Linked DNA regions of Drosophila melanogaster. The protein of the gene in region 2 interacts with the protein of the main gene of each other region in a pairwise test. Each region holds a gene or a part of one and is shown on either strand. Other genes may lie near its edges.

Region 1 (7,584 bases), on a different chromosome or scaffold from region 2:
AGTAATGTCATTGACACCATGGCCACTCAAATGAATCTATCACCTTTGGAGGTGGCTCAAAGGATTGTGGGAACCGGTCAAAATGCAGCCGATGGTGGATTGAGATATGCACCCAATCGCATACCATCAGGTAAGTCAGTGAGTATATCGCTGTAAATCTATTTGAAATTATGAATATCGTGTAAAAGCAAGTCAGATCGGAAGTAGTTTCCGAAAGGGATCAGAGATCATGTGCCAAGTCCCAAGTCCACCATCACAGACGCCGCATCAACAGCCAGAGGACCAGCTGGGGATTTCGCCGGTTCTAGACAAGATCCTGGAACGATTGGAGAGCATTCAGGCAAGCAAGTCAAGCAATCAATCGTCGGAAGAGGAGGAGGAGAGAAAGCTGCCCTGCTGCTTCGTGGATCCAGCTGATGGTAAGAATAGGTGGTAGAGCTAAGATTCATGTATGTATATAAAGTTTAAAACTTCAGGTGCGCCCTGCGATCTAAACGGATCCTGGGAATCTCAAGTCCTTGGCATTCGCATAAATATCAAGACCCCGCCAACAAATTCAGATGGCGAAGAAGCGGAAAAGCCGACCTGTAGCCAACACAAAGGTCGTACCTATCGCAGGACGAGACGACAGTGCGTCAAGATGAACAGGACGCAGTTGAAGGATGCGGCCGACTTGAAAACTCCCAATTACCATGGCATTAAGCTAAATATTAGTGTGCAGGAGACAGTGCCGCCGAGGGCCCACGATCTCCTGGATAATCTCACCGATTGGTATTTCTCGGGACAAGCTATGATGATCCTGGGCGGGCCACTTTCTCTATCCTTCCGCAAGGCGAATTCCAATCTGATCGGTCACTTTGTTGGCTATTGTCGCACCTGCGGCTGTGTGGACACCATTTTCGGTTCGTGGAGCTTCTGCCAGCCGTCGCGGGATTGCCAGGACATCTGCATGTCGATTGTGGACAGACGGGATATGCTACGACGATACAGTATGGATGAGCGGCGAAAGAATCGATTCAAGGAGCAGCTCTATATGGGCAGCAAGTTCGCCAAAATGGAAAAGGAGCGCCAGCTGGCCGAGCAGGAAAAGTGCCACAAGCTTGCTCCTCAAGCTTCGCGCGAAACGAATGGGAATCCAAACCCATAAGACAAAGCTGAATTTAAATTAATTATTATTTAAACTTAATTTATTTTGATAATTTGTTACTAATTAGTTCGTTTGAAAGGATTTGATTATTAAAATGCATTTTGCAAAAAAAAGGTGGCTAAAGGAATGTCCTTAAATTATATCAACTGATCACCAAGTCGTGAGCTTACATTCCATTCGCCTGGCTCATTTGGTGGTGAATGAATGACATGGTGTATCCAATCGAACGCCTAACGCAGTGCACGTCCATCTGGCCATCCAAGATGCACTGCCTCAACTGATTGACGGCGTAGTTCTCGATCCGTTTCTTGGTACTCTCGTTGTCAATTCGTTCCAGTCGCTTATCCACCTTGTGCATTAGAATGAATGCCTCTGGGAAGTGACCCACATCACAGGGCCAGTTGACAGAGTGCGGATGCGGGTGGCTTAGACTTGGACCTTGGGACGAGTTGTCCTCCTCAGACCAACGAATATTCCTGGCCTGCACCAAAGCCAGAGCCGAAAGAAGTAGAATCACCAGAGTTGAGTTCATTTCAACGATCGCTGTTAAACTGTGCCAGTCAATTCTATAACTAACCCTTTTATAGCCCCAAAAGCAACAACAACTAATAACTGATAATGCAAAAGGGCTTTGTCCTCACAATGTTGCTACTCAGCCACGAGTTTTTCAATTATTGACAGAGGTCAATGTCAAAAATCATTGATTAGCAAATGGCTGTATTAATGTATTAATTAAAAGAGTGTTTGCCGATCAGCAAACTAAATGAATCATTATTTGAGGCAAATAATTTCTATAATACAAGTGTAACAAACTATTGTTGCTAAATTACATTAAATATATATTTAATATATTAGTTAATAGGTTGCCAAATTTTTGAAAATATAAAAATGTGATAAATCACTTCCTGTTATTGTTGATCTTTTCGTTAATCCAATTTACGATCTCCTACCCAGATAGTATAAGTTAAATTATCAGATTTCGAATATAGAACACAACATATACCTGAACACCAGACCCTGTCCGCATGGAACATTCCTCAAAAGTCCAATCTCGACCAGTTAGGCGATATAGGCCCATCAAATCGATAACCGTGGACATGGACAGGGATCCCGAGGCGTCCTTCTTGTTGGACACGATCAGCAGCGGAGCATTATCCAGTTCCTGGTGCATCAAAACATCGCATAAAACACATCGCGCCTCGCTTAGCCGCAGTGCATCCGTGCTATCCAGTACAAAAATCTACGGTTCAGGGATTGTAGTCGAGTCTATATAAGTTCTATATAAGTTCTCCTCTCACCAAAACATTCACTTTCTTATAATACTTTGGCCAGATCTGGCGATTCTTCAGTTCTCCGTTAATATCCCACAACTGGACTCTGAAATTATTTATGGTGAAGCTCCATTCACTAACTTGATTGTTAGATTCCTTGGACTGCAAATAGTTTATGCTAACATTATCAAATGGAGATAGGACCATCACATATATGGCCTTACTTCTCCATTGAAAATTTCCGCCAGGCGGTCTGTCAACGTGGATTTTCCCGCATTGTCTAATCCTAAAATGAGCAGACATGATTTCTGAGAGCCTGCGGGCAGGATCTTTTTTATGAACGAAACAGGTCCGTAAAAACACATGGGGATCGAAATTTGATTTCAGTTTAGATGTCAGGTAAAAATGAATGATTTAACTAGCATAGCCTTCTCAACTATATATTCAGTTTATACTTAAAGATACACGTGAAAAAAGGAAGATTCATCCAACAATTAGAGATTGTGATACTTTTGGTGAGTTGAAATGTAGGTACGTATATTTAGTTCTTAGGGACAACTTAACAGGCGACGATTACTATAATTTAGATTACTTCTTCATATTCTTGCAGACCCAGTCCATTCCCTCCTTTAGTCCAGTGCCATCCACAGCGGTACAGGCCTTGATCTCCCAGGTTCGTCCCTGCAGTTGCACCAAGCTCATCTTCTCGGCCACCTCGGCGGCACTCATGGCATCCGGCATATCCTGTTTGTTAGCGAAAATCAGCACGGGAACTTGCTTCAACCGATTGTCCATGAGCATTTCGAATAGTTCACTACCCGCCTCGGGCAGGCGAGTCCGATCTGTACAGTCAATTACATAGATCTGAAATAATCGAAACTATTAGCTAACAGAATTGAGTTTAGATCTATAACAATCCTACCAGCACATCAGTATTCGCAAAATAGTTCTTCCAATATGGACGTATCTTCCATTGACCACCAATATCCCATACATTCAGTTTGAAACCATCGGCTGCCACGGACTTGATGTTAAATCCTGCCGTGGGCGTTACCTGCGGGATTTCACTCCGTATTTTATGGGGAAAACGGAAGAAGTTCGCCGCCTTTATACGCACCGTGGTTATGTCCTCCGATGCCAGCTGCTTCAGTATCGTGGTCTTGCCAGCATTATCCAATCCTAGGAGCAGGATGCGAGCCTCCTTTTCCGGATTGGGTCTCAGTTTACGCAACAGCGATAGCAGACCCTAAAATTTGTAAGCTATTAAGTTGTTGTTTTTTCTACTTAGTTTTTTGAAGGTGTGTTATTCTAGCACCTGATTACCAGTATTAGTCTAGACTCGGTAGTATCCTCTGGTCTATCTTTGAAATTTTGAATAACAATCTACATTTGGTAGTTTATAAACTTGTAAAATTGTTAATAAATATATGTGTTTTTATAAATGCAACATATGCTTGTAAACACACATGTTTTGTTATTATCAATGTTGTTATCAATAAAGACGATGTAAAGTTGTAAAAAAAAAACTTGCAATTAAAACGTTCTCTTAGTGATAGAATGCAAAAAGCTTATCAACAGGTGAACTTTACAAACATATTGTTGGAATTGAGATAAGGGCTCGCCAAAAGAAACGACAACAAGGTTGAATGAAATAAAAATGTTTATTGGTAAAAAAATTTGCCATGTTCACTTAAAAATTAAGAACTCTTTTTTCCATTGTGTGCTACAAAAAGCTTATTATGTTTCTTTGTTTTCCGAACCACCAATTTGGTTTTTTTTTTCGAATACCGATAATTACGCGCCTAAAACTTTCGAAGTAGTGCTGAAAAAAGTTCTGCTCTAACAAAAAAGTGTTGTATAGTTTTTGAGGCGGGTTTCCATGGCGACGATCGCAAAATGAAAACAAATCGTGCAATTACGGAACAACAAGGCACTTAATTAGCTGTTACGGAACCGGGAGACAACCTACCATCGTATAATTAACGCGAGAATAACAGCCAGGAGGCGGTGCGATCTCCGACCACTATATCCGTATCTGTATCCCCCCGATTCGGCAATCTGCTCTGGCCGCCCAAGACGGTGTCTTCTGGTGGTCAACTCAGGAAAAGTCGGATAACTTGAGAATTGGATCAACTTCAACCACCAAACACAACATCACTGGCTCGTCGCTGCACAACTACTGAAAACAAAATTCGCTCAACGCTCTAACAAATTCCGACAGCAACAACAACAGCGCCAACGGTCGCCGAGCAACCGCTGCAAAGGATTGTTAGACGGGGGACGTGGTGGGGGTGCGGGTCGAGCGGTATTCGAATTGGAACGGGAACGGGAAGAAGATGCCGCTGCTATTTACGGGCTTCAACGCATTTGGCCAGCATGAATGTGTAAGCGGCGACGTCGACTGCGCAGCCGGCTTCAGCGGTTTGTAACCGGCAACAAAAGCCGCCGATCACTTAGTTGCTACAGTAGGCACTCGCTATAGAACTCGCTGGGATGCATGCAGCTTATACCATTTTTACAATTCTAATTCTATCTTATAAAACTGAATCCGATTTAAGCCAGATGAATTTTTAAGATTTCATGTTTAAAATAGAGTATAGTGATTTTCAGGTGAATATATACGTAGGACATTAATCCATAAAATTCTTTGCATATTCATATTCATGCATTGGATATAGACTGCATTTTAATTGACAGTTATAGGGTAAATTACACATCGGTACTTGGTGCCAACTGCATTTTTTGATTGGCCAAATACATACATAGCAATGAAATTGATAAACTAATAACTTAGACAAAATCTTTTTAGGGGGCTTCCACCGTATGTATGTATGTGTACTAATTCAGTTCTGCCTTTATTACAGAATTAAATGCGCCAGTCTCGACTCAGAACCAGTGCACGATTTCGATCGGCTGGCGGTATGCGGCCCTCGCTTTTGGCCGGAAGTTGTGCCTGCGTGGGCTCTTGGATGATGGCCCAAATGAGTGCGTGACCCTGGAAGCAACGGGGAACATAAGGGCCCTTGCCGCTGCCGATTCCCACTGCCTGGTGCTACTCCAAAGCGGTCAGCTTTACAGGGTGCAACCAAAACTGCAAGCGGAACTGGTGGCTGTTAGACTAGAAGCTGCTCCCAGATCCAATTCGGGTACAAAGCGCTCTATCTTTGGGGCTGCCAAGGCGCCTTCGTCGCCGATCATAGAGCATATTGCATGTGGATCGCACATAAACGTAGCGATAAGTTCGGAAAACTGTGTCTACAGCATTCCCAGCTGCCTGCATCAGTTTTCCGAGCGCCAATTTCGGGTGAAGCAGCTCCAATGCGGCCATGAACATGCCGTGCTCCTCAATGCCAATGGCGACGTGTTCACCTGGGGAAATGGACTGTAAGTAAAGGTCATAATGAATGCGTTGGCTGTGCAGAAATGCAGCCTATAAATATTTACATATTCTGGTTTTAAGATATTTAGATATTAGCGAGTTTCTTATTCTAATTCCTAACAATTTTTTTCACTTCTATGTCATAATTAACAGACGCGGACAGTTGGGTCTGGCGGAACTGAGAGTGGAGGAGACGCCTCAATTGCTGGAGGCGCTGGCGGGGATCAAGGTATATATATATTTGACTTGTCCACTTATCTTGTCTGTCACACATTCAAGTGCCTTGCAGATAACTCAAATTGCTGCCGGTGGTTGGCACAGTGCGGCCATATCCGCCTTTGGAGACCTCTACACCTGGGGCCTCAACTGCAGCGGTCAGCTGGGATTGCGTGTGATGAAACCCGGTGGCGTCCTCAAAGAGCCCACTGTATTTCCGCTGCCCCAGTTGCAAGATCTGCCCGAATGTGCCTGCTCCCAAAGCGGGGAGAGCAACGATGATTGCGCACCGCTGAGGGTGTTTGCTGGATCTCGTCACACTCTGCTGATCCGCCGATGCGGGCGGCTATGGGTCAGTGGTTGGTGCAAGCACGGTCAACTTGGCAGGCAGCTCCAAGACCTGTCCTATGTGGATGCTTTTCAGGCCCTGGAAGGTATCACGATGAACCCTACTGTGGATGATGTTCTCTGTGGGCCATGGTCAACGCTGCTCCATTTGAAGGTAACGTTGGATTGAAGACACATACATATGTACCTTTTAAAATGGCTTCACTATTAAATCTACTGAATTGAACACAGCTTGGACACAAACCAATTTACATGTCAACTTGGTTGCCTTCATGTAAAATGTATTGCCACACATTTTACTTGACTTTTATCTACTTTGTATATATGTACAAAATACGTTGTATGATGAGTAATTTAACATTTGTATTATATTGCATATATTACCAACTTATGTAGATAAGTAGGCATTGGAATAAGTGTTTCCCCACTATTTTAGTACTTTTAAATTACCAAAGACAGGCTGGATGAGCGGATTGCCCTTGAGCATGGCGTAAGTTAAGAAGTATGCAGGATCAGAGTCGTTGGCCTGTAAGAAACTTCCTCATTCCCAGTCCCAGTATATTCTTTATTCTAATATGGCGTATCACCGTGCAAATGATGTATCCATACGGATACATGGACTGTTCGCTGCAGGACGCGTTGGATAATGAGTATCTGGTATGGAACAAGGGCGATCACCGGGAAAATCAAATGATGCTGATAAGGGAAACCGTTCAAACCACACTCCTGCTCGTGCTAATGATAGAGGTGATGCTGACGTTCAATATTCCGATTCCGATGGTCATAGGCGCCGGAATATAGTCTCGGCTCTGAACTCTGTTCCCGCCTTATTGCTATAGAAGCTCTATAGCTACAGTCCGTTTATTGTCCCATTAAAACAAGAGTGCTCAAATAATTTCGTCTTGGGGTAGGACCGCCATTGTGTCAACGTTCGTCGACTTTGTCGTTGTCGTCGCTGCACATTTAATCAGTAAATTTTATTTTTAAAAATGGTATTAAACAATATTTGCCATAGCAAAAGTCCGACGCTCGCAGTGCAATAAACTTTTCAGCACTTGAGCCGTTCGCCTGACTAAATGACTGATTGACTGACCGACTGATTGACTGACTGACTGACTGACCGACTGATTGGTTGGAATTTCTTTTCTTTGTTTTAACTTTAACTCGGCGCGATTATTTCGATTTCGTGGAAGTGCGTTACTTGCAAAGGTTTTGATAGGAAT
Region 2 (7,215 bases):
CAGCATATAGTACACAAAATGTCCTAAAATACCCAAATTATTATTTCAGTGGCAAACACAAAGAAGAATACAGCACTGTTAGCATTGACTCAAACCAGAGTGCACGAATTTTTTTCTTGTCTGGCAGCCCTAAAAACCACTTAGGCGGTTCTTTTGAATTTGTACTAAATATATTAATCTGTTTTATTTATATTGTTTTTGAACATTCTTTGCTATCCTAACCTAACCGAAAGGTATAATATCTCCAGGGAATTGCCTAGACTCTTGCCCACAATGTAAAGCGTGTGGGGCATGAGCGAGATGAGCGCTATAAAAACGTTTAAAGAACTGCACATGTGAAATACAATTCACCCATCAACCTTTTCGCCCCTAACCCCACACCAACCCTTAATCACCCCACCGCCTTTGACTGCATCCTGTGGGAATTTTTGGGCACTGCACATGAAAAGCGGCGTTTGAATAATAAAGAAAAGAAAACACGGAAAACAGGGGAAAGTCAGCCAAGACGCAAAGGTGTAGGGCAACTTTTCGCTTTGAATATTTAAGTGGCGCTGTGGCATCGGTAGTGGAAGTAAAATAAGCAGAAGGCTGCGAAGGAAAGCCAACCGCAGCTAACACAATTTTTCGCATACCCCTTGCCGGAATTGTGCGGAAATTTGATTTAATGTCTGCGATTGTGAGCCTTTCCACGGGCTCAAAGTGATTGCGACGAGCCCTTATTTTCCGGACTGAAAAGATGCCACGGAAATGGGCAGTGGCAGATTGCCGAGTGCACCATTCTCTTTGAGGATTTTTTTTTTTTTTAACTGAGTTTTTAGCAAGCAATTGAATGATTAATTACAGTATTTTCAAAAAAATACCTTGCTTAAAGTTTGTAGATTTTTTTTTTAATAATAAAAGATGTTTTTGTAAGCTTGTTGTCAGGATATATGCTATGTTTAAATGTTTGATTCCCAATTAAGCATTTTGAGAAAATTGATGTACAAATTACAAACAGTTAATTGTATTAAAATGCTCAGCCTACATTTCGCTTACAATATGGATTATGCTTGGCGTGAAAGTATAAATAATAATTATTAACGTTTTTCACCGACTTTGCGCGGTCCAAGTGCAAGTTTTACAATTTACAAATTGCTTTTAAATGGGCTGTGAAAAGTTTTAATGAGTTTTCCACGCAGCCGTCCTTCATCTAAGCGCCCAGTACATTCCGCCCACCGCCTTGTCAACGATTTCTGTTTATGCATTTTCATTTTCATTATCATTCCCTTTTTTTCGACCAGCACTGCCCTCTCGTTTTCCGCTTTCCATTTGTTATTAAGCTAACGCTTTCCGTTACTTTTTATTACTTTTTTGCACCAAAAGTTTTTCCTGTCACAGTGGGTGGGCGTGGCACTACATTGAAAGTGTTTTTTTTTTTTTGTTGTTGTGGGCGGGGGCAAAGGTCGCCTTATGAAATTATATCAATCGGGCAGATTGATAAGTCGCTGCTCTTGGCAGCTGGTAAATGACATTTGCTTTTTCCAATTGTTCATATTTTCATTAAGCAACATTTGAATTTTCCCGAATGTAACCTGTAATCGCTTCACTTCAGAATCAGAATTAGAAATGTATTCAAGTACGAGTTTCCGCATTGCATGGCTACATTTCTAATTTCGGTCTGGTCAAGAACAGGGCCCCAGAGCAAGTCTCACGTCAAATTAAATCAAGCTGTAATATAAAGAAAATTGAAGCCAAGTCCCCTTTGTGCCATAAACTACGGATGGCCAAGGAGCATGCGGTGTGGGGGAAAATGAGACTGGCCTTGGTGTGCGAGTGGGTGGGGTGGTTTCCGCAGCTGATTGGCAATATAACACCAAGGAACCTTAGCATTCATGGCGGAATTTAACCCGTGTGCCAGTAGTTCAGATTCAACAGAGTTTTGTGGTTAATATTTTATTTCTCTCGTAATTTATAATATAGAAATTTGTTCAAACAAGTGCTTATCAAAATATGTACCTAAATATCACCAATGTACTGAAGAAATTTATGTTTATTACAAATATACACATTAAATCTTTAAACAAATGAACAACCACTTGTAATTGCCAGTATATAAATTCGACCTGCTAAATGGCAACTGCACTGGCCTCATAAATACAAGCGCCAACTAACCGTGCCAATTTATGGTCAACACTTAATCTAAGCTGTCAATGTGGATGCAACACCAGCGGTAAGAACTACAAAACTTGGCCAACAGAGGAGTGTGTGTAGTGGGTGACTAGTGGCTAGTATCGTAATTGGCGGGGATTACGACAAAACGTAAAAGTGCAGAACGGCATGTGAATGCGGAAGTCGAACTCGCAATTGGCCAAAGTGAAGAAGTCGTAAAGTTTTAGTTGCATTCTGCCGTCTTCGCCTCCGAATTGGACGCTTAATTTATGTTTCAATTCCAATTAGCCAGCGAGGCGCGGGCTTTTATGTTACTATTCCTTCTTTTCGCTTTCGAGTGCACAGAGAAAAATTTCCTTTTTGGTATTAGGTTAAGTGCTAAAATAAATTCGTATCATGAATTAAATACTCTAGTGTTTTAAATGGCTACTTATACATATGGTTTGGTGCTTAATGTAGGTTTTTCTTTATTGAGCAGTATAATGGCGTACTTTTTATTGCTCCCACTTTCAAGCAGCAGACTTATTGAAATTTTTTTTTTTAATTTCAAAAAAATCTACGTACTATTTCATTCATCCAAAATAGGTTAGAGGGAAGATCATTTCCCACCGTGCTCCCTGGTAATTGACTTTCGGCCTGGCCCTGACGCGTCATTTGTAATTGTATATCAGCACGAGGAGCGACGAGAATGGCGGCGTTTATTAGCCATGGCCAAATGCAGCTAATTGAAGTTCAAATTGCGTTGGCGCATGAGTTGAAATGGCAAAGGAAACCGTTGAAATGTAAGCACTCACATGTGATTCCTGTCGGTTCAATAAAACGTTAAGTTCAGTCAGACGACAATGCAGACGTAAACGAAGACGAATCCACTTAAGGCCAAAACGAAACTCAAAAAAAAAGGAAAAAAACAAGTAATGCGAAAGCCAATTCGACACTCAAACACAATCAGCAAAGAAAAGCAGAGTCGAAAGTTGGGCTGCGAAATAAAATCAAGCATAAATGCAATAATACAATTTATGTGCCGAATTTCATAAGGACCATAATGGACATACAAGCACACACTCTCCCCCCAAATCTCCCAAATAATCTGCACAATAAAGATATGTGTATCGAGTGGGACCAACAAAGGTGACTTTCTCAAGTTGGTCAGCAATCGCTGTTACCGTAATCACATTTGGCGCCGAGATGTTGATGCTATTTGCCAGTGTGTGTCATTTTCATTGCGCAAAAGTTTTCCTCCGCTTTTGATGGCAACAATGTCTCCAACACTTGCCCATCGGATATCCGGTCTCTCCATTCAGTTCAGTCCATCCATTCCATCCATCCATCTTCCCATTCTCTGTGTCGTTTGGCAAGTTAACAACATTTGCTTGACGTTTGCCAATTGCATTATGACTCAATTGTGAGTTGAACGATTTCACGGACCATCCAAAGAATCAAAGAGCGGCATCGCATCAATGAGGCAACTTCAAGTTGACTGGAGTGTCAGTCCGTTGAGAGAGAAACAGAAACGGAAACGGAAACAGGGAACTAAGTATAAAGCGGAAGTGAGGCGCAGTTCGATCGAAAATCAATGGAACTTTTAAGAAGTGATGCATTTGGAGGTTTAATAGTTGATATTAGATATATTTTTGATATATTCATATCTGCAAAATTTAAGTCATGGGATGGATATGTTATTTTCATACGTTTAAAACAGTGATGGTTCCTTTGCTGCAACTATTACCACTTCGGATGATACAACTATCCACATTAAGATGCATATATTCATGTGGAAGCGTAACACTCAGATTGAGATGCTTGAAGAGCGGTTGGAACTGAAATGCATTAACAATTTGGCAGCGGCGTTAATGCATCTCCGATGGGCAATAAATCGCGCTGGCCGCAATATGTTTTGGCCACTTGATGGCCCTTCAGCGGACAATTGTAAGTTGCCATCACCGCGAAATGTGGAGCAAGTGCGGCAAGTGCACAGACCTTACCTTATTCCGGGCATTATGCAATGTCTATGGGCCAAAGTCTTGGGCTTTATAAACTGGGTCGACGACACGCCCTTCTCCATTGCCTTCTCCGGCTGATAGGCTCACCCACACCGACTTTTGTGGCTGTCACTTGGAGCTGGGCAATTGTAAATTGATTTGCCACGATCGAGGGATAGAGAAATGGATTTCTGAAAGTCACGCAAAGCCAGACGGCAAAGCTGAAACGAGTTTGAGCTGTACGCCCGATTATGAGTAATTGGCATTGCGCTGGTCAGGTCTTCTATATATGGCCCAACCACCGAGTTATCCAGCACAGTTGTTCCAATTGCTCCAATCGACATGGCTTACTTCCAGTTCCTCAGCGTTGCCTCCAGCTTGCTTCTACTCCTGGCTCCCACCTGGGCAGGTCTGATTGCTCAGCCGACCATCACCTATGCTGGCAATGAGCACGCGGTGGCCCACACCCAACAGAATGTAGTAAGGAGCTTCGATGGCACCGTCTCCCACTACGCCAAGTCGCTGGCCACGCCCTACTCGCAGGTCCACAAGCAGGACACGCGGATCAGCAACAATGTCTACCAGCCGGCGGTGGCCAAGACCTTCAGTTATGCTACAGCTCCAGCTCCGGTTTACACGCACCAGGCTCATCAGGAACCAAAAAATCTGTTTACTCAGGCATCGCCAGTTTACCAGCAGGATGCTCATGTCCAGACTCCATCGGTTTACCAGCAGGCTGCTCATGTCCAGACTCCATCGGTTTACCATCAGCCCGCTCAGGTGCAGAGCTACCACCAACCTGGTCATGTGGAGGCACCTTCTGTTTACCAACAGAACGCCCACTACAGCCACCAGCCTGCTGTCATCCACTATTCTCCGGCGGAGACCGTCTCCCACATGAGCTTCGATGGTTTCGGTACCCACTACGGATTTTAAGTGATCAATACTTAAGTTAAGATTATAAAGAATAGCTTGTGTATGCTTGTTAAATAAATTGTTGAACTAAAACCTTAAATGTTTTTAAATACTTATAAAAACTGGACATTGTTTCTTATTCGATTTAATTTTTTATTTAGTTAAGCTCTGCAGTTAATAGTTGTTAACAGCTTGTTATATAATGTTCTTGCATAACCATATTTGCATCATGTACGCAGCATTTGCATTGGTTTTCTTGTACATCGTGTGGTTTATTCCCTGTTTATCACTCACGTTCGGAGGCAGCGTAAACAAATCATAAAAATCCACACAAAGTGCACCCTACAAATAGCCCCAAGTAGGACATTAGCTCTGGTCCTTACACCAGTCCGTGATCCTTAGATCCTAGGGCAGAAGGATGCAGAGGGCTTACGTGATTTGTGCAGCGCAAACTTAAAAATCGGACATGAAAGCTACGTGACTGGAATGGCAACCAAAGGAGCCAGGAGCATTTGAAAGGGCGAAGGACCATGAAGTGGCATGGCTTATGAACTAATAAGATTCTGCCCATCCTCGTAAATTATGCACATTGACAACTGTAATCGGGAAATTGAAATCAGATTTTTGCTGCCTCATTAATTTTGCAAAAGAAAAAGGAAAACTCCATACGCAGCCGGAAGCAAATCGAAAACTTATGAATGCCCGGAGTCAATAACCAATTTGTGTGCTCCTCTTTTTTCCATAGCCTATTTAAATGATAGCTTCATTAGCTGGCCATCAAAGTAATGGCCAAAATGATTACCAGAACAGGGCCAGCAACTTCTGGAGCGAATTTCCGAATTGAAAAACCGAGCAAAAGGCACAAAGTTGCGAAAAATGAAGCCATAAACTCCGCTTAGTCCGGCATCCTGCAGGACCTCCTGTCATTCCCCCTTTTTGAGCCACCACTTCTGTCCGCCACTTGAGTGCTAAAAGGCGCAATGATAAAATATTTGCCCGACCAGGGCTAGTAAATTTGTTGGCTGAAAAGTTGAAACAGCTAACAAAATGCAAAGGAGACGAAGAAAGGCCGAGCCGTTAGTTGTTGTTTTTATTTAGCTGTTGCGGCTAAAGTTTTCCCACTTTCCACAGCCAGGACATCGTCCAAAGGCAAGTTGGCGAAAAATAAAAATGCAAAATGCCCAGTAAGACGTATTTATCAACATAATTACATTTTTTAATGGCCCTTTAAACCGCAAAATGGCAAAGCCGCAAAGCAAGATAGAGTCATGGCGAAAACTTGCTTCAACATCTTGATACTTTCCGTGCTTCCAACAAATATTAAGTCAATTTGGGTGGCTTAAAAAAAATTGTGAAATAATTGTTAATGAGATAATTTACTAGAACTTCAATGATGATTTCAGTTTTACATGTTTAAATGGAAATACGTATTTGAAAGTACAAAAGGAAACATATAATATTACTAAAATATTAATAAGACTACCTTTGTTTGTTATTGTCTGATATAAATATCAAGTACCAGCTTTTTCCAAACAGTTAGGAGGTTCTAATATATGCGAATTGTTTCAGCGAATTATTTTCTTATCATATGCGGTATAAGTGCATCGCAACTTCCAACTGTAATTAATTGCCTTTAAACTTATAAAAGTTAATAAGTAGCACAAAACGATTAATAATATTGATAACACATAAAGAGAATATTCGCATGTGAAAATGTATACTGCATTTGTTTATTAGTTATAGCTTCCAGCACGATTTCCAGGTCTCTGGTTTATAATTAACTCTATGACGAGAGATACAAGAGAATTAAGAGAGCTCATTTTTTTTATTTCTCTTCATTTCATTGTTTATGCGATTGCATGCTTATTTAAAAAATTGCAAATTAATCAAATCGTTTTAACTAAAACCCGGTTTAAGTATCAAATATGTGCTACTCAAAAATTGTAAAAAAAAATGTTACTGTTTGTTAAAGAAGATCGTTAGAAGAGAGCCTTTCAACGTAAGAGAGAATACATTTGTTGTTATGACCTATCAAAAGCGTCAATATTTTAATAATGTAATAAGTAATATAATTTAACAGTGATAATCTGGAATTGAAGCAATTTTTTTTTTTTTTTTTTTTTTTTATTTTACTTTGCTTTTATTTATTGAATCTTCTTGTATAAGAACTAAC
Region 3 (8,999 bases), on a different chromosome or scaffold from region 2:
AACGATAGCGTAATGAGTAGTTGGCCATCGTTTGATGGCTTCTACGTTTTAGCTAAACTCAAATCTAAGGTCTTCTTTCGCGCTCTCACACAACCCCCCCAACCATGTCTCTCGACCAGCTGCATACCCTCGATTCCCAGCCAACAGTCCCCGGTAAACATTTTTCATACGAGCTAGGGAGAACTTGAAATGAAAACCGAATGCATAAATCTATGGATATAAATCATATAAAATACGATACTTTAATACTATTAAAATGAAAAGCGAGTGAGACAACCGAGTGTGCTCCTCACAAAAAGTAAGCACCTTGCGCATTGTTCTTTCTATCTGGGTTTTGGTTTTTGGTTTGGGTTCTGGGTGGCATGGCTATCAGAAATCGATGGATCATTGAACCGCGCTCCTATCGCGGTTCCCAAAGTCATTTCATGGTCGCATTAACAATTCTCTGTGCATTTATGGTTTCTTTTAATTATTTTAGAAGACAGCAGCAGTCGGCGCTGCGTTGGCCATTTTTGGTCTGTGCGATTGGATGGTTGGCCAGGTTATTTTCGTCGACGGGCAATCGTTTCAAATGGCTGACGCAACGGCGCAATTATTTTTCGCCAAAAAAATGTTCATAAATAAAAACAGATATTTATTTATTAATTTTTCTCTGCGCCTCGTCCACTTCGCAGCTGCTTTTTCTTTCAGTAATTGTCGTTTTTGCATACTATTGCTCGCCTGTCATCCGCTGCCAGAGCGAAAAGACATTGACCCACATTATCCATCCATGCCAGCGAATGTCTGATCTTAATGCTATCGAAATTTCTGGCGAGGAATGAGTGACAACATTTGGACTCCATATGCTCACTTTCGCTCTCGAGATGTTCGAAATATTCGTTGTCGCTACTTCTGGTAAAAACTCAAATTAATCACGGAAAACGCTGGAGTGGAGTGGCGATGGAGGCGGGCGAGCGAGGGTGCTCGACCACTTTTATCAGCCGTAAAATTAATCAAACATTATTATTTATTATATGGCCTTTGGCTCTCGCAACGCCGCGCAATTTGATGCGCGTGTGCCTTGTTTTCATCTCCAAACGGAGCATTCAAATATCTTTCGCCCCGGGCAGTGAGTTGTTTTCCACGTTGGTTCATTCAATTAAATATGCTAATTTCAGTTTTCACCGTTTTCTAAGCGCTGTTTTGGCGGGTTGTCTACTGGCTAACAGGTATTGTAACATTGGTCGCCATTCAATCACTCAAACTTGAGTCAAATGGCATTAAAGGTTACCCATATAAACCATGTGGTCACCGCATACCAATAGGTTTATCCATTTACTACGGAATTCGTTCTGATTGACTTAAGAGCTTGGCCCTCTAACTTTCCCATCAACTTTCCTCCAGGATATTAATGATATTTTACTCTGTTATATTTTAAACTGCATCTTTAGCTAGTAACCTTCGCTGCCACGAAACCGTCTAATCTGCTCGAAGGTCATCCAGAACACCACGGAGGCAGGTCCGACACGCATCCAATATGGAATGAATCCCTTGTACATGGCCAAAAAGCCCTCCTCTCTAACCAACCTACTTAAGCAATCCAGGGAGCCCTTGTAATGAATGCCGCGTCCCTGCTCATCGGTTGGCTGATTCATGATCCGGGACTTGACCACGTCCGCTGGCAAGCTCAGAATGGCATCCGCTACGCCGGCGGTCATGGCGGCTACGAACTGCACTTCTCGGTTATCCACCAGATCGAACTCGGCAATCAGAAAGCGTTTGCAAAAGTCATAGCAGCTGACGTCCCCTTTAGAAGGAAGGGGTGATATTGAACATATCTGAACCTGACTGATCCAATCCCGATTTTAAGGCTCACCTATGGTCACGAGTGCCGAGCGCCATGTGTTTGGAACAGTTCCCTTCCAGAGACCCACCACACCACCCGTTCTGTAAATGGAAGTCAGGGCCTGGAGCACATTGTGAATGCGTGGAGGCTCGCCCCTTAGACGCCGCTGTCCCTCCATTTGCATTTGGATCTTAATCAGCTCGGTGGGATTCGTTAGTACGCTGGCAGTTGCGCCGGCTAAGACGCCACTGATGCAGGATCCCAGGAAGGATAGCTGCGGCCTGCCGTCCTCGTCGGGCACGATCATCTTCTCACGCATATAGTCGTAGGTCAGCATTTTGATGCCACTGAAGAGCGAGTGGCGGAACAGCATGGCGGATATGCCACCGTAGAGCTTCAGCAGACCCTCCTCCCTGACGATGCCCATGGCAGTGGCCAGCAGACCTCGGTACTTGGCCTTCTGACCCACCCTGCTCGCGATCTCGCCCTGGATCTGCATTCGGGTCTTGCACATATCGAAGGGATAGCCCACAATCTCGGCACTGCAGGCGGAGGCGAATGCCGTGAGGTAGAGTTCAACCGGCGGAGTCTTCTTGTTGGTCACCAAGTACTCCAACTTGGGTCTTTCCTTCTCCTCCGAATTGTCCCATTCTGCTGGCCTAAAGACTGTGTTAACGCCTTTTCCCATTTAAGAGAAATATCTTGAGTGTTTGTTGTGTGCATTGGAATATAAAAAATAAAATAAAGCAAAATTAAAGACAACAAAATCATTTCATATTAACGAATAGGATTGGGATTAAAGTTATATTTATAATATGTATAATAGATGGTTTGACTTGCACCTTTTATTGCGTGTTAAAAGACATACAAAATACGATAGTAAGATTGATAGTTTGCTCCTAAAATCCACTCTGGCCTTCCCACTGACGCAGCTGCTCGACGGACAGCCAAAAGAGCACTGAGAACGGTCCCAGCCGAAACCAAGTGGGCATTAGGCCCTTATATAACGTGAGGACACCCTCCTCCCTGACCAGCTTCCTAACGCAGTCGAGGGAGTTCTTGTAGTACAGATTCTTGCCGCTCTCGTCCACCGGCTGGTTCATCATCCGCGACTTGATCACGTCCGCCGGCGTGCTGAGCACGGATGCCGTTAGTCCGGCGCACATGGAAGACACGAAACGCAGTGGCAGGCCTTCCTCCAAGTCCAGCAGGCGCTTGAAGGTGCGCTTACTGATATCGTAGCTGCCCACATCGCCGGTCGTCATCAGGCAGGCACGCATGCAGCTGGGCCCTACACCCTTCCACATACTGGGCAGTCCGCCACGGCGGTAGATGTCCACGAAGGCCTGCACCATGCTGTTCACCCGCACATCATAGCCCAGCTGGCGGCGGCGTCCTTCCGTCTGCATTCGCACCTTGACGATGTCAAAGGGATTGGCCAGTGCCTGGGCAATGCAGCCTGCGGTGAAGCTGCATCCCAGCGCCATGTAGATCTTGAGCACTTCCTCGTTCCGCTCGTTCTGGTAGAGAAAAGGGCGCCGGAAAACGTCGTAGAGAACAACACGTAACGAGTTGAAGATAAAGTTTCGGGTCACCATTGCCGAGAAGCCGGCGTAGAGCGACTTGAATCCCTCCACTCGGATCATGTTGGTAAGAGTTGCCCGGAAAGTTGGCATCGCTTTACCCGTCTTCTTGGCCTGCTCGCCATCTACCTGCATCCGGGTCTTGGCCACGTCCAATGGGAAGACACACGACTCGGCCAGATTGGCTCCAATGAAGGTGTTGACGTAGAGCTGGAACAGATTGCGTGCGGTTAGTGGATCAGCGACGTTTGTTGGCGGAAATCGCGGCTCCTCTTCGATTTCCAAGGATCGAAGATGCCAGTAGTCGCGTTCAGCTTTGTCCATTGTAAACTCGTAATTTGGTCGGTAAGTGGTAAGTGGAATTGTATGTTTGGAATTGTTTGTTTAGAATTGTTTGAAATGTGTTTAGGTAGCTACAATTTAAGTGTTACTATAAATAGACGACATACCAACAGGTGGTGTCTGCGATTGGACTAGTTTCTCTTTAGTATATATAATATCCATCTATATACATACAAGGAATGCTATCCCAGGATACGAGTACTTAAAACTCAAGTATGGTCCTTTGATTGAAGTACCCAGTCGGATGGTGAAACAGAAGTGACTTAGTTTAAAGACCACGGAATACACACCCCACATTCATAAGGGTTCATTAGTCATCCCGGGGTACTGGAGGCCACTCCCGCGTTGTCTTACAAGTGGGTCAGGTCAGTTACTATGAAGTGCCCCTCACTCCCGACAATCTAACACTCGCTGACCGACTGACCGATTTGGCTAATGTCGGGCAACCCAACCAGCAAACACTTGTGTGTCATATGTTTCGCACACTTTACGAAAGTGCTGATCAATCCAAAATCGAAAGAAACCTGAGGAGTTTGTTGAACTGTCCACCATGCCAAAAGAAAACGCTGGTCGAAATTTGCAGGAATCAGCTGAAATCGAAGCAATTGAATATGTTTAAGTATGAATCCAAATGCTCTATTATTATAGGAACTCTTTTGATTAGTAACGAATTCAAGATGAACATATTACAAAGAAAGTATGTTATAAAGCTTGCTCCCTCCTAAGTATCTTCATAATGTATATACAATTTTCATAGAATATAGCATTAATACAAATAATCTATTTATTGTTACTAACATCGGCTACTTCGGTTTGAATTCACTTCAACTTCGCACATGGAAGTGTATTTTGGTTACGATTCGAACCCCTTTTGGCCAGGTCCGTTCAAAATTGGTGTCTGCATTGGTTTTTATTCAGTGATACGATTTTCAAGTGAATAAAACTCCGATTACCAGTGCAATATACCAGAACAACGCGGTTAATAGAGGAAAAACATAATTCAGACAAACGAGAAAAATTACAAAAGACCGCTTCGAGGAAATCAGTTGGGTAAGTTGTGGAAGTTGGAAGGCACCTTTTAATGGATCTCCATCCTCAGCAGCAGAGTTAAAGACTATAAAAGCGCTGCCCATCGGCAAACGGAAGTTAGTGAGCGGAAGAAGAACATGGATATCCAACCACAGGCCTTGAAGCTGATCTTCCTTTGGGCATGCCTGGCCATTGGGCTAACGGTGTTACCAGGAGCAACTGCATCCGGACATGAGGCCAGTCCAGCTTCGAGGGATCTACTGAATCGCAGCAAACGCACCATGACTACCATCTGCGTGGAGATTAGGCCAAGTAGTCCGCAGGATGAGCCGTATTATATGTGCCGGGGAGCCAACTTCGGTGGCGACAGTAGCCAGCAAAGTTGTGTGGAGGTCAGAAGCCAAGGTGGCCAGGGGGAGCCATTCTACATGTGCCAGGGAGCGAAATCCACAGAACCCGCAATCGAGAATCAACCCTCCATGGAGCATATGCCTCCGTTTAATCCTCAACCCGCTGAACATCATGATTACGGTCACAACTTTCCCGTGTTTCCCGCCTTTGAGGGCGGGTCATATCCCCAGCAGCCCGTCACAGAAGATCCCACTCGCATTCTCCAAGTCCAGCCAGCGGGTCCGACGTCATACCAGGAGAAGCCCCACCAGCAGCCTAATCCTCAGCAGCATCAGCCCCACGCCCAGTACGGATTCTACGGAGGCCCTATGGCAGCCCCTCCAACTGCACCTGCAGCGGAGTCAGCTGGCATGCAAGAATTTCATCACCCAATTGTGGGCAGCCCGCCAGCAGCTCCACCAGGAGTTCCAGCTGGCCCAAGCCCAGCGTCCACGGCCGCTTCGTATGATCCTGCAGCATTTGCGAGGTCGTCAAGTCGCCCCAACGAGAACCCAGTAGCCGGAAATGGTAGACATCGATTCACTATCGACGAGGAGGTGCTGGCAGTGCCGGATGTGGGTTTTAGGCGAGAGGAGCTCCAACAGCAATACCGTAGGCCAGTGAGTCAACCGCGACCAGAAGATCAGTTGATGTGGGTGCCGTTGTCGCAGACGCAGGATCCCGAAAACGATCCGGTTATGAAGGCATTCTACAGCAGCCTGGGAGACGAAAGACATCCCACACAGGAGGCACCGGTGAGCAACCAGGATGAGCCCATGTTGGGACAAATGTCTCCTGGCTACAGCCCCTACAACAATCAATACCCAGAGGCTCCTGCCCCACCCACTCTGCCGCCACCACCTCCAACCTATTCCCAAGCAGATGTAACTCCCTCTGCCAACACATATTGTAATGGATGTCCTCCCACAGCACCACCAATTCAATGTCCAGTGGACAACGGGGTGAGCTACAGTACCACCTGTCCGAGCTTCCAACCGGTCATTATAAGCATGCCCTGCTACGCACAACGAGCACCAACTCCCTACTTTGGGCTTCCCAGAGCACCACCAGCATTGGCTCCAGCAGGTTCCTTTGGAGGTGGATTTGGGCTGGGAGCACAGCTGGGAAGCCCTTTTGGCATGTCTCCCCAGATGGGAGGACAGGGATACGACATGGAGCACCAGGTGGGTGGCCCCTTTGGCATGGGCATGCAGCTTGGAATGGGAATGAACCCATTCGGACCCTTCGGAGCCCTCAATCCTTTCAATCCTTTCAACAGAGTTCTGGGAGCACCAGCTCCCGCTGCTCCAACGCAAAATGGTAACTTTTTCCAGCGCGTCTTCAAATTCAACCAGGACGCTGCCTCCACCTCAACAACAGAAGCTGCTCCTACCACAGAAGTTCAATCGGAAAGATCGGGCAAGCTGAACTTCTCGAGTAGCACTCCGGCGCCACCCAGCTCAGAACAGCCAGATACCATTGTGGGTGATGACCACGACAGTGATGAGGCTGAGGACTCTGCTGAAGATTTTGACAAGGAAGATGATACGGCGATGACCACACCGCTACCAGCCTCCGAGCCAGATGATTCCGCTGACACATCCGGAGTTCCGGCCATTGTGAGCAAGGCGACGGAACTGCTCAAGCCAACGGAGAAACGGAAGCGACACCGTCAGCGCTCCAGCGGACGTAGTCCCCAAAAGCATAGATACCTGCAGCAGTTGTAGCTCGAAGATATGTTAATGGATCCCTCAAATTGAATAAAGTTTTATTTATATTGTCAAAAGAATAGTACTTTAGTACTAGGCAGGTGTAGTTGCGACTCTTTATCAAAATATAAATCAAAAGTTGAAATACAAAATGAAAAAATGAATCGTTTCATCTTATATGTTAGTTGTTTCCAACATGTATCTTTGGGAAGTTTCCAACAAGTATTTCACCTAATATTAGAATTGTAGAGATGTAAATTCAAATAAATATCTTTTTGTGCTACTATTTTTAGCTAGAGCTGTAATTAATGTTTTCGAACACAAATGCGTCAGCATCTATAAATACTTTTCAAATATATATATACTTGAATTTATTATTGGTTGTATCTTAAGTATTACCAGTATTAAGTATAACCAAACGATGAGTAAGCCCACGATTACTTTCGGAAGTATATTTTACGGCAACCAATATATATTTATGTATTTATTATGTGTTTCTGAACGTATCTTTGTATCTTTGTTTTTTCCGACCAACTTCCGTTCAGCCAAGTGCATTTTGCTTTCGATTGGCCAGCCTGATGCGGATTAAAGCCAAGGCAGTCACGCTCCACGGAGCAAACAGGAACCTCGACTGGTGTTTCGCTACTGTTTAATAATTTCGAGCACGTAAGGGAACAATTTGAATAAACAATAAGGAAAGCAAGACAACAATAAAGAAAATACAAGTAGTGTGGAGTCATCGGCCTGCCAGTGGGGTTATTGGGACTCTTATTGGGAATCTTCGATGAATTGGTAACACCACCTCTATTGGGGCTAAAATAAAAATTGGGTTAGACATGGGACTTGCTGAGCTAAAAGTTTAGTCTTAATTTCCTCATAACAGACAATCTTTATAATTAATTTTAAATACCCTTTCTTTTGTTCAGATAATTTTAAGATTTACAGATAAGATACTAAGAAAAGGCGATCAGTTCTAGTGTGAACATTTGGTTACCTGTTTACTTGTAACTAATTTTAATTCAACATTTTAAAATATATTATAAGGTGCTATAAAAAATGCAACACTATCCAATCTTTAATGTTTATTTTGCCAACTATTATACCCCATCAAAAGGTGTCCACACCTGCTGACCTGGCATTAATCCGTTGTGGTGTGCAACTCCAGCAGTCCGCTGCGATTGGGAGCCACTGGTTCTGGTAGTTGCAATTGAGAGTTCGAACCGCGAGGTTAATGCTGCCAACGCAATTACCACATGATGATGCACTCCAGAAACAGATCGTGGACTCTGACCCTGCTGGCGCTGGGCGTGGTCCTGGCCACTTCAGCCGAGGATTTGCCGCGGTCCAATCGGATTGCGGTACCGGGGGAGCCACTCTACTACCTGATGGCGGATGCAGGTCCTGTGGTGACCCCCAATGAGGCTTTGAAGCGCACGAACCGCTCTCTGCTCAAGTGGTGGGATGATCTCTTTCCCCGCAACAACAACAACTGCTGCAACAACAACAATAACAACCTGCTGTATCCGACAGCTCCACTGCTACCCGCGCCCGCTGTGCCCAACAACTGCAACGGCCTGCAGCTGCAGGATCTGGATCCCTTCAAGCAGATGAAACTCTTCAAGAAACTTCCCGAACTATTTCCCACAGCCAGTCCGTGTGGACAGTGTGGCGGTGGATGTGGTCAGAACAACTATGTGGCACCGGCGCCACAGAGTCCTTCCTACGGCGGTGATGGTTACGGAGTCCTGCCCAACGGTGGGTACATCAAACCCGATACCGAGTACAATGGACCCGGCGATGGCGATGCAGGCTATGTAGCACCGGCAGCTCCTGCCTACGAAGCTCCGGCACCACCAGCTCCTGCTTACGAAGCTCCTGCTCCACCAGCTCCTGCCTACGAAGCTCCGGCACCAGCTGCTCCTGCCTATGAAGCTCCGGCACCAGCTGCTCCTGCCTACGAAGCACCTACAACTGATTACAGTGCTCCCGCTCCACCAGCTCCCGCCTATGAGCCACCAGCATCCAGCTACACCCAGGGGTACAGCCAGCCCGCACAGCCAAGCTACGTTGGTGCACCACCGGCACAGATCGTTTACCAGCCCATCATCTATCTCTCCACTC

What was found. The genes of interacting proteins can lie anywhere in the genome.
Region 1: the proteins of CG7548 (region 2) and CG17819 interact in a two-hybrid assay, tested with the Drosophila melanogaster proteins (one large-scale study listed by BioGRID).
Region 3: the proteins of CG7548 (region 2) and CG13992 interact in a two-hybrid assay, tested with the Drosophila melanogaster proteins (one large-scale study listed by BioGRID).

Annotation. Positions count from the first base shown.
Region 1 is NT_033777.3:21,882,753-21,890,336, forward strand, and holds CG17819 (uncharacterized protein), read right to left. Parts: upstream 2,799-7,584; 5' UTR 2,784-2,798; coding exon 2,643-2,783; intron 2,581-2,642; coding exon 2,446-2,580; intron 2,388-2,445; coding exon 2,151-2,387; intron 2,094-2,150; coding exon 2,046-2,093; 3' UTR 1,976-2,045; downstream 1-1,975. Other genes in the region: CG31465 (uncharacterized protein), read left to right, coding at 1-130, 189-419, 477-1,147; fit (female-specific independent of transformer), read right to left, coding at 1,314-1,679; dnd (dead end), read right to left, coding at 3,007-3,282, 3,341-3,472, 3,536-3,664, 4,388-4,390; CG6678 (uncharacterized protein), read left to right, coding at 4,755-4,839, 5,283-5,802, 5,951-6,026, 6,087-6,515; CG43844 (uncharacterized protein), read left to right, coding at 6,866-7,162.
Region 2 is NT_037436.4:7,503,456-7,510,670, reverse strand, and holds CG7548 (uncharacterized protein), read left to right. Parts: upstream 1-4,453; 5' UTR 4,454-4,469; coding exon 4,470-5,063; 3' UTR 5,064-5,131; downstream 5,132-7,215.
Region 3 is NT_033779.5:5,963,416-5,972,414, reverse strand, and holds CG13992 (uncharacterized protein), read left to right. Parts: upstream 1-4,662; 5' UTR 4,663-4,800; intron 4,801-4,849; 5' UTR 4,850-4,916; coding exon 4,917-6,896; 3' UTR 6,897-7,024; downstream 7,025-8,999. Other genes in the region: Ucp4B (uncoupling protein 4B), read right to left, coding at 1,431-1,786, 1,856-2,513; Ucp4C (uncoupling protein 4C), read right to left, coding at 2,725-3,732; psd (palisade), read left to right, coding at 8,132-8,999.